Cricetulus griseus: one gene and its partner. The protein of the gene in region 1 binds, or shares a complex with, the protein of each later gene. Links are inferred from orthologs where the notes say so. Each region holds a gene or a part of one and is shown on either strand. Other genes may lie near its edges.

Region 1 (3,511 bases):
TTCTTGTCTCTAAAAATTAAGCACTTTACATCCAGGCAGCACTGTCTAGGAGGCTGTGTAAAGGAGGTGAGCCGCTGAGCTTTCAGAGCAAGCGCCAAGAGTCTAAACAACCCAGGTACCTTTGATTTCAGGATAGTAGAGGAAGGGTTTCGGTTCACTAGTTTCCAAATCCGATTTCCTCCGAAGCTGAACAAATACGGAAGCTGGTTTTGTAATGTTGACATCCTTATACTTTGGAGTTTTGAAGACAATGGCAAACTGCAGGGGACAAAAAACCCAAACATTGGTGTAGTACATTTGCTGTCTAGTGGGGGTGAGCAGAAGGCGCATTCCCGATGCATACATTTGTACTCTAAGCTTAAAAAAAGTGTGCTAAGACCCAGCCCCTGGCAAAGTTCCAGTCAGTATGTTACGCACATACAGGGTTTCTCTCTGTAATAGTCCTGGATATCCTGGAACTCACTCAGATCCACCTGCCTGCCTCCTAAATGCTGGATTAAAGGCGGGCGCCATCGTGGCCCAGCGTACATTTTTATTATATTGCCCCCATGAAAGTAAAACACAACAGTATGCCGGTTAATTATCTTAATTAACACATCTTAGTTATTTCTCTTTCAAATTAGCCTTAAAGGCCTCCAAGATCATTCAGAGCAGTGTGTGAAGGGCTGGGTTTGGAAGCAAATGGAACCAGAAGTACCACTGTCAGCTTGTAGCCGGCCATGCCACAGAAAGCAGTGCTGTGCTGGAGGCAACATGTGTTAATTCTGGGTAGTTCTGGGACAGTTAGGTACCGGGCATCCTTAGTTTTGTTTTTTCTATCTTTATATTCACAAGGATCAAGATTTCCTAAAACACAGAAGGAATACAGTGGCACACACTGAGAATTCTTCTTGCCTCCCTACCTCCGATCCATGTACCTATTCAGTGCAGATTCCTGGGGGGCTCTGCGGTTACTTTCTCTGGCTTCCTGTGCATGTGAACCCTGAATTGTTTTGTATACACTATGTTCTCAATCAATCTTTACAAGTCTCAGCATTCTACTTTGAGGTCTCTGTTCATCCACAGACGCCCTTTTTCTAATGACTGCATGACATTTCACCACATAGAAGCACCCCATTATCTAGCCATTTACTGGTGAATGTTTGGGCTGTCGATAATTTCTTGAAAAACATCATTCCTCAGTCACCCTCAAAGAGTGACTATTAATGAGGGGCCGTTGGAGACCCTGGCTCGTCAGAGTGGCATCCGCCTCAGCCTTCAGACTCCTCAGTACATTTCCTTTTTTCCCAGGCTTTGCTGGAATGGTCAATACCTAAACATTTTCATGGGAGGAACTGGGGCCATTGCCTTCAGGACCTGAACAACAGACACCAAATGAGGCACCATGCCAGGCTCCCTGAGCCAATATTCTAGCAGCACCTTGCCCGCAGTTCTATGGTAAGGTACTCCTCTGGAAGAGCCATAAAAATAGCATTGCTGTACTGATGTTAGAGACTTATGGTGGTTTCCTTTTCAATCTGTGGAGACGGAGCACTGAATTTCATCAAGGCAGAACAAGTACTGAAATTAGACCGGTGACAACCCACCTACCTGTCTGTGAACATCCGTGGGGGAAAAGTCTCCAAATCCTTCCCAAAACCCACCATTCTCTTCCTCCTCATAAAACCGAATCTGGATGTCATCTGCAAATGGTCACATTCAGGCACGTGATTGCAACGGGTGTAATAATGTTGACGAGCATGCTAGCAAATACAGGCAGGATATAACTCTGTCTCACTTAAATGTAAATGCTTTGAAAAGAATTCGGAGCAGATTTGCACCATTTAAAGTTTCACAGATCAGACTCTTTACACATTATTTACTCCAGGAAAGGGAATCTACCATTTACTCATAGTGGTATGAGTATTATATTTACCCAGTCCATTAAGCTTTGTCTTTGTCAACATATGAACTTCCCACTGTTCCACACTTAAACTAGTTCACTTCTGGGAAACTTGAAGGATGGAAGAGTAACAGAACCCGTAGGTGTAACTCAACCCAGTATGGAGATGTCCATTGTAAAACTTGAAATAAATGAAGCTTCCCACACGGCAGATGCTGTCCTAAGTGCTTTATCTTAAATGTTAACTCATCTAGTCCTCAAACCAGTCCTGCGATGTAGGGATACTAATGCTGTCCTCATCTGCAGACGAGAATCGGGGTCTATGGGTGTGTGCACATGCGTGGGAATACCCATGTATAGCAGGAGCACATCCAGAGCTCAGAGGATTAATGGAAGGTGGCTCTCTCCTTCCACTGTGTGGATCCTGGGGATTGAACGAAGGTTGTCAGGCTTGACAGCAAGTGCCTTTACTAAATTCTGTGCCATCTTGTCAGCCCCAGATTGTGTCTTCAGTAGGTTATCTAAGGTTGAATAGCTAACAGATGAAGGACTCAGGATGTAAACATCATGGATGCCCAGTCCTAGCTCTTACATGCTCTACTGGACCACCTCCACACATTGCTTCCTCATGCCCTATCAAGCAACTGGTTTAAGTACCATGATGGCCATGTCTTCTTATGATGAAACCACGTTGGTTTGTTTGTTTGTTACTCTCTAGTCATGGACTCTAGTTCTGTAGAAATATGACATGTACTTCTCAGTGCATATGAAGGACCATACTACTGACTGGTGAAAGTTGATATTGCTTATATATATACATATATATATATACATATATATTATATATATATATATTGATCTCATATATATACATACATATATATGTATATATGTATATATATGAATTGAATAAACTATCTCATTATCTGGCCCAATTCTTTACTTTGGATAGACAGGTCTATCCTAGATTTAGTAGAACACCTGTCATTCTCATGGTCTGTCTCCCTTTATCCCACCTCTTACCCTTTTCATTTTACTTATGCATGTGACAGGAAACTGCAACCGTATTGTGATAGTAACATTCAGCTTATCATGCTTTTATTTTCGTTGTACAGTGTGGCGTAAACTCATGGGTCACTACAAATGCTGACCATTTTAACAGCACTTCTCACAAGGTTTTCTGTTCTTTGGCACCTCTGCATAACCACCAACATGGCTCACAGAGGGGGCTACGAGCTCCTGTGACTCAGCACCTCCTCTAGGCAGAGGGATCTCATGCACAGATACCTCAGAGCCAGGACCATGTTTGGTGACAAGTTATGTTTCGCCTTCTGGTGGCATCTTTTATTAGGAAGTCTTCCAGTTCTGGGAGGGAATGAGGAGGTCTGGCACACTCAAGTGTGGGGCCAGCTTCACATTCTGGAAATGGCCTTGGCCATTAAGGGCTGGGCCTGGGAATACCACACCATGTCTCTCCAAGGTGTGGCTTGCCATTCCTAGTTGTTTCTCCCAGGGCAGGGTCTGGCACCCAAGGGTGGGTTCTGAGCACATTTTCTTAACGAAGACTGTAGGGGGAACGCTGTGTGGCCAAGTCACTGTGGCAGTATGAAATAGATTGTATGGCAGAAT
Region 2 (3,987 bases), on another chromosome or scaffold:
AAACCACCACGTGGGTGCTGGGAATCGAACACCTGTTTTCTGAAAGACTGCCAGTGAGTGCTCTTATTCTCTGAGTTTTCTCTTCTCTTCAGTCCTGAGCACTTACTTTTCTGGCTTTTAATTTCTACCTCATATTTTTCAAGGAAAATAATCAACCACATATCATTTCTGAGAATAGTACAGAATGGCTATGACAACTTCTAAACACTGCCCTAGTTATACAGGTCTATCAGCCCATATCTGGGTGTGAACACAGCTAAGTGTTAGGGTCAGGAGGTGGGACTATAGTGCAGAGTAAAGGAAACCACCTTTCCAAACCACCGCTGGTTGTTGCAGACAAATTCCATACAAAACCTTCCCTTACATGATTACTAAAAAGGCCACACCACCCATTCTTTACTGCAGGACACAGGGCAAAGACGGCATGGCAGGCTGGTCTGACAACACCCACAAATGGAACATGACTGATCCTCAATAAAAATTTGATGACACTACATAAAAAACAGGATGAACTTCATTTCAAACACTCTCAAGGTTCCCCTGCTACCCAATGGCTATGAATGAAATTCAAGTAAAACTACTTAAAACTCTGAAAAAAAGAGGCTTGCAACCCTAATTTCTGGCTTCAGTGAATATGAGTTACAGAGATGTGTAAACTTCACAAATAAGATCTCTTCTCCAGATGTGTAAACTTGCCTGAACTGGCTTGAAGAGTATTCAAAATTGTCTAAGAAGCAAATCACAAATTTTAGCTTCAGAAACTAATAATCCATCACAATTAGGAAATGGTTCCATCACTGACACCGATGATCTGAAGAAAACAGTTGGAGTAGTTAGAAGCAGTTGCTTTGATCCCTCTTCTCAAATATTCCTAGCTCAGGGGCTGGCAATGTGACTCAGCAGATTAAGGTGCTTGCCACAAAAAGGAGAACTGAGTTCAATACCCAGGATCCCCAAGACAGAAGTGAACCAACCCTCCCAAGCTGTCCTCTGACCACCACAAGTGAATGCCCCACCCCTATACGTAAACGGAAAAGAAAGCAAAACAAAAGGCCCCAAACACAAAACCAGCCCAAAGGTAGCAATACAAAGTGTTCTTTGCTTTTTGAGACCGGTTTCACTCTGTAGCCCAGGACAGGAAGGTGGTGATCCTCCTGCCTCAGCCTCCTGAGTGCTGAGAGCCATGAGCCAACACCCTGGTCTAACATAGTCTGTAAAGCACTGAGCAGCATGCCTTGTGTGTAGTTCAATAAATAGTTTTAGTCTTAAAAATAAACAAAGCAAACCAACTGTTGATTTTTTAGCCCATCATCCCACTCCTGTCTGGAATCAGGGACCCTTAACTAACCGTACAGTCCATACAGTCCTCAGAAACACATGGTTAAACCAATCAACTTAAGCCCACCAGTATAACCCTAGGTGTATTCAATTAATCTCTGATTCGGGGCGACTCTGATCAGAGCCTTGTTAATAGGCCTTTGGGGCCCAAGGTTTTTATGAATAACTGGTTTCCTGTCCCCAATGCACACCTTTTCTACTGGAATGGCAAAGGTCCCATAAGTAAGACAGTTTAAACAGGTAAGGACCTAACTGGGTGCTGGGTCGAAAACGACTGATAGTGGGTGGATTCTGAGCAAACTCATGTACTGAGACCCACCCAACCAGGCCCGAACAGCTCATAACTGGAGGCGTGGGTCTGCCTTCCTTGGGCTCCCCTAGTTAGCTAGGTTAACAAGTTAACTAGGTTACCTTGTGAGAGTCTTCCAAACATCAATTCCCACCACCGCCCCTTTCACTTTCCACTTTACAAATATTCCCCGAGTAGTTACAGTGTAACAGGCTCTGACTTTCCCAATCTGGAGGATATTTTGGTTCTCAGTAACTTTCAAATATGGCAACAGTTTTTCCCTTAGGTATTTTTTTCTTTTCCCAAATGGCAAAACCTGGACTTTGTAGTGGACTACTCCCTGGGAGGAACAGAGCCCTGGTTCCAGCAAAGCCCACTTACAGCGGGTGAATCACTGAAATCTTAGCGTAGTGAGGCCCCTGGGCCCAGACATTGGGGACTGAGTCATTCCAAAGCTAGCGCTGCCGGAAACACGCCCTGAGCTGCAGGAGGAGGAGGAGTCCCACAGGCGGGGCCTGGACCTTTCTCCTTCCTAGTAGTTACCTGGAGCACCTGCCCGAGGGTCTCCAATAGGTACCGGCCCCCGTGCACCGACCGGGCACTGGTTCTCTAGGCAGTGGACCACTGATGGAGGCAAACTCCGGCCTAGCCCTGAGGCACAGGACACCCCGCGTTGTGTATGACAGTGTACACGCGAGGAGTGGCGGCTCTCATTTCTTCCCTGAGACTCCGAATCCTGGTTCAGACGGGGGTTCACCCAAGGACCCCCTCCATCGTTTCACCTCCGCCAGATTAGAGCTGGCGGTAAGGAGAAGGCTGGAGGCTGCAGGAACCCAGATCGGGGAACCCAGGTGCCGCCAGCGGTGCACCTCCGGTACCCGGCGTTCCAGGGTCTCCCCGTCCCCTCCCCCAGGCGTGCTCTACAAGCCCAGGGCGCGCACAGGCCCCGGGCCGCTCACCACGGGGATACAGAAGGCGACCAACACAGCACACGGCGGGGTGCGCGCGTCGTCCGGGCACGCGTACCTTGCTCTCGATCAGCTTCACCATTTTGGCTGTCGCGGGGAGGAACCACACGAGTTTCTGTAGGATCGGATGGAAGCGGATCCGAGATGCCTGACGGATCTTGCGGCGGATCGAGGCGCCCGCCTTCTCTTTATAGCGACAGGGCGGAGCACGGCGGGGCGGGGCGGGGCGGGCGGGCGCGTGCAGCGGGGACGCGCTCCCTGGCCTCCCGCGCCCGCCAAGCCGCCTCGGCAGGCCACACCTAAGCCACGCCTCCAAGAGGTGGAGCGGAAATCAGGTTTCCAGGGGGCGGAGCCACAGCCGGCTACTAGAGCAGCTCCGGTACTTCCCTAGTGATGGCCCCGCCCATGTCTCCTCCCTCTGCGCGGCGGAAAGCTGGCCTTGGTTTACAGGGGGAGAGGCTAGCGCAGGCGCCTGGAGCAGCTTCGGGCTCCCAGACACCGCCCTGCGCTTACACAGGGAAGTAAGTGTGCGTCCAGTTGCTCTAAGGGCATTTTCGTTGTGCACTACGTAGGGAGGATGCTCATAGTCCCCTCTCACAATCTGGAGTCCTTCTAGGATCACATTGGCCAGGCCCCAAATAGACCTAAGTCAGATACTTCCAGACTGGGCCTGGGGACTGCCCAGGCAGAAGTGTATCCTTCGACCAGGGCGGCCATGCTGCGGTTCCGCCTCAAAGTGCTGAGTAACGATGACTAGGAAGTGTCTCAGTGCACTCCTTCCCCTCCTTTCTGGAGATTTCCCTGTCCCTTCTCTCCCCCCTCCCCTTCCTATTCTTTAACTTTCGCGGGTGAACCTGCTACTGGAGAGGGACAGAGTCCTTTAGTGCCCTTTTTTTGTGCCCCATGCGCATGCGGGCATAATGGACATCGGATTGTCTAGTTCACAGCGTTGTCTCGAAGGATTTAAGGGCTTGAAAACTGACGAGGACAGCGCTGGGCACATAAGGAAGCACTCAATAAATGATTCTAATTATAGTCATCGTGAGCGCTAATTAAGCTTGCGTGGTGCCATGCCGGCCTTGCTGAATTTGGCTGCCTTGTATTTACAATGACAGTGTACATGCATTGCAGAAATTGTTCTGCCTTGGGAGACGCCAGGAAGAGTGTGTGCCAATGATAACTGGGGTGATGTGCAGGAGGAAGCTAAGACATTGTTAGGGTGGCTTTGTGCAGCCCGAAGCTGAGGTGGAGACTGGACAGAGCCAGCAAGCTGGGAGGATGTTTGCCAAGGCTGCCTTTTCAGAGCTGAGCAGATCTAGATAAATATGCATCCAGAGGTGAAGAGCTGGAGATGGTGAAACCGTGTCCCTGTCTCAGTGCCCCTACCACCAC

What was found.
Region 2: the proteins of Nfkb1 (region 1) and Txn are in contact, whole or in part, in an NMR structure (PDB 1MDI), measured with the Homo sapiens proteins. The link is inferred for Cricetulus griseus from reciprocal best matches to the Homo sapiens genes NFKB1 and TXN. Residues at the interface, in NP_001158884.1 of Homo sapiens: Arg56, Phe57, Arg58, Tyr59, Val60, Cys61, Glu62, Gly63, Pro64; in NP_003320.2 of Homo sapiens: Thr30, Trp31, Cys32, Pro34, Met37, Ile38, Asp58, Val59, Asp60, Asp61, Gln63, Ala66, Ser67, Val71, Lys72, Pro75, Ser90, Gly91, Ala92.

Annotation. Positions count from the first base shown.
Region 1 is NW_023276806.1:23,875,195-23,878,705, reverse strand, and holds part of Nfkb1 (nuclear factor NF-kappa-B p105 subunit), read right to left. Parts: intron 1,683-3,511; coding exon 1,591-1,682; intron 259-1,590; coding exon 120-258; intron 1-119.
Region 2 is NC_048595.1:85,908,580-85,912,566, reverse strand, and holds the start of Txn (thioredoxin), read right to left. Parts: upstream 2,811-3,987; 5' UTR 2,678-2,810; coding exon 2,654-2,677; intron 1-2,653. UniProt on the Homo sapiens protein: Participates in various redox reactions through the reversible oxidation of its active center dithiol to a disulfide and catalyzes dithiol-disulfide exchange reactions.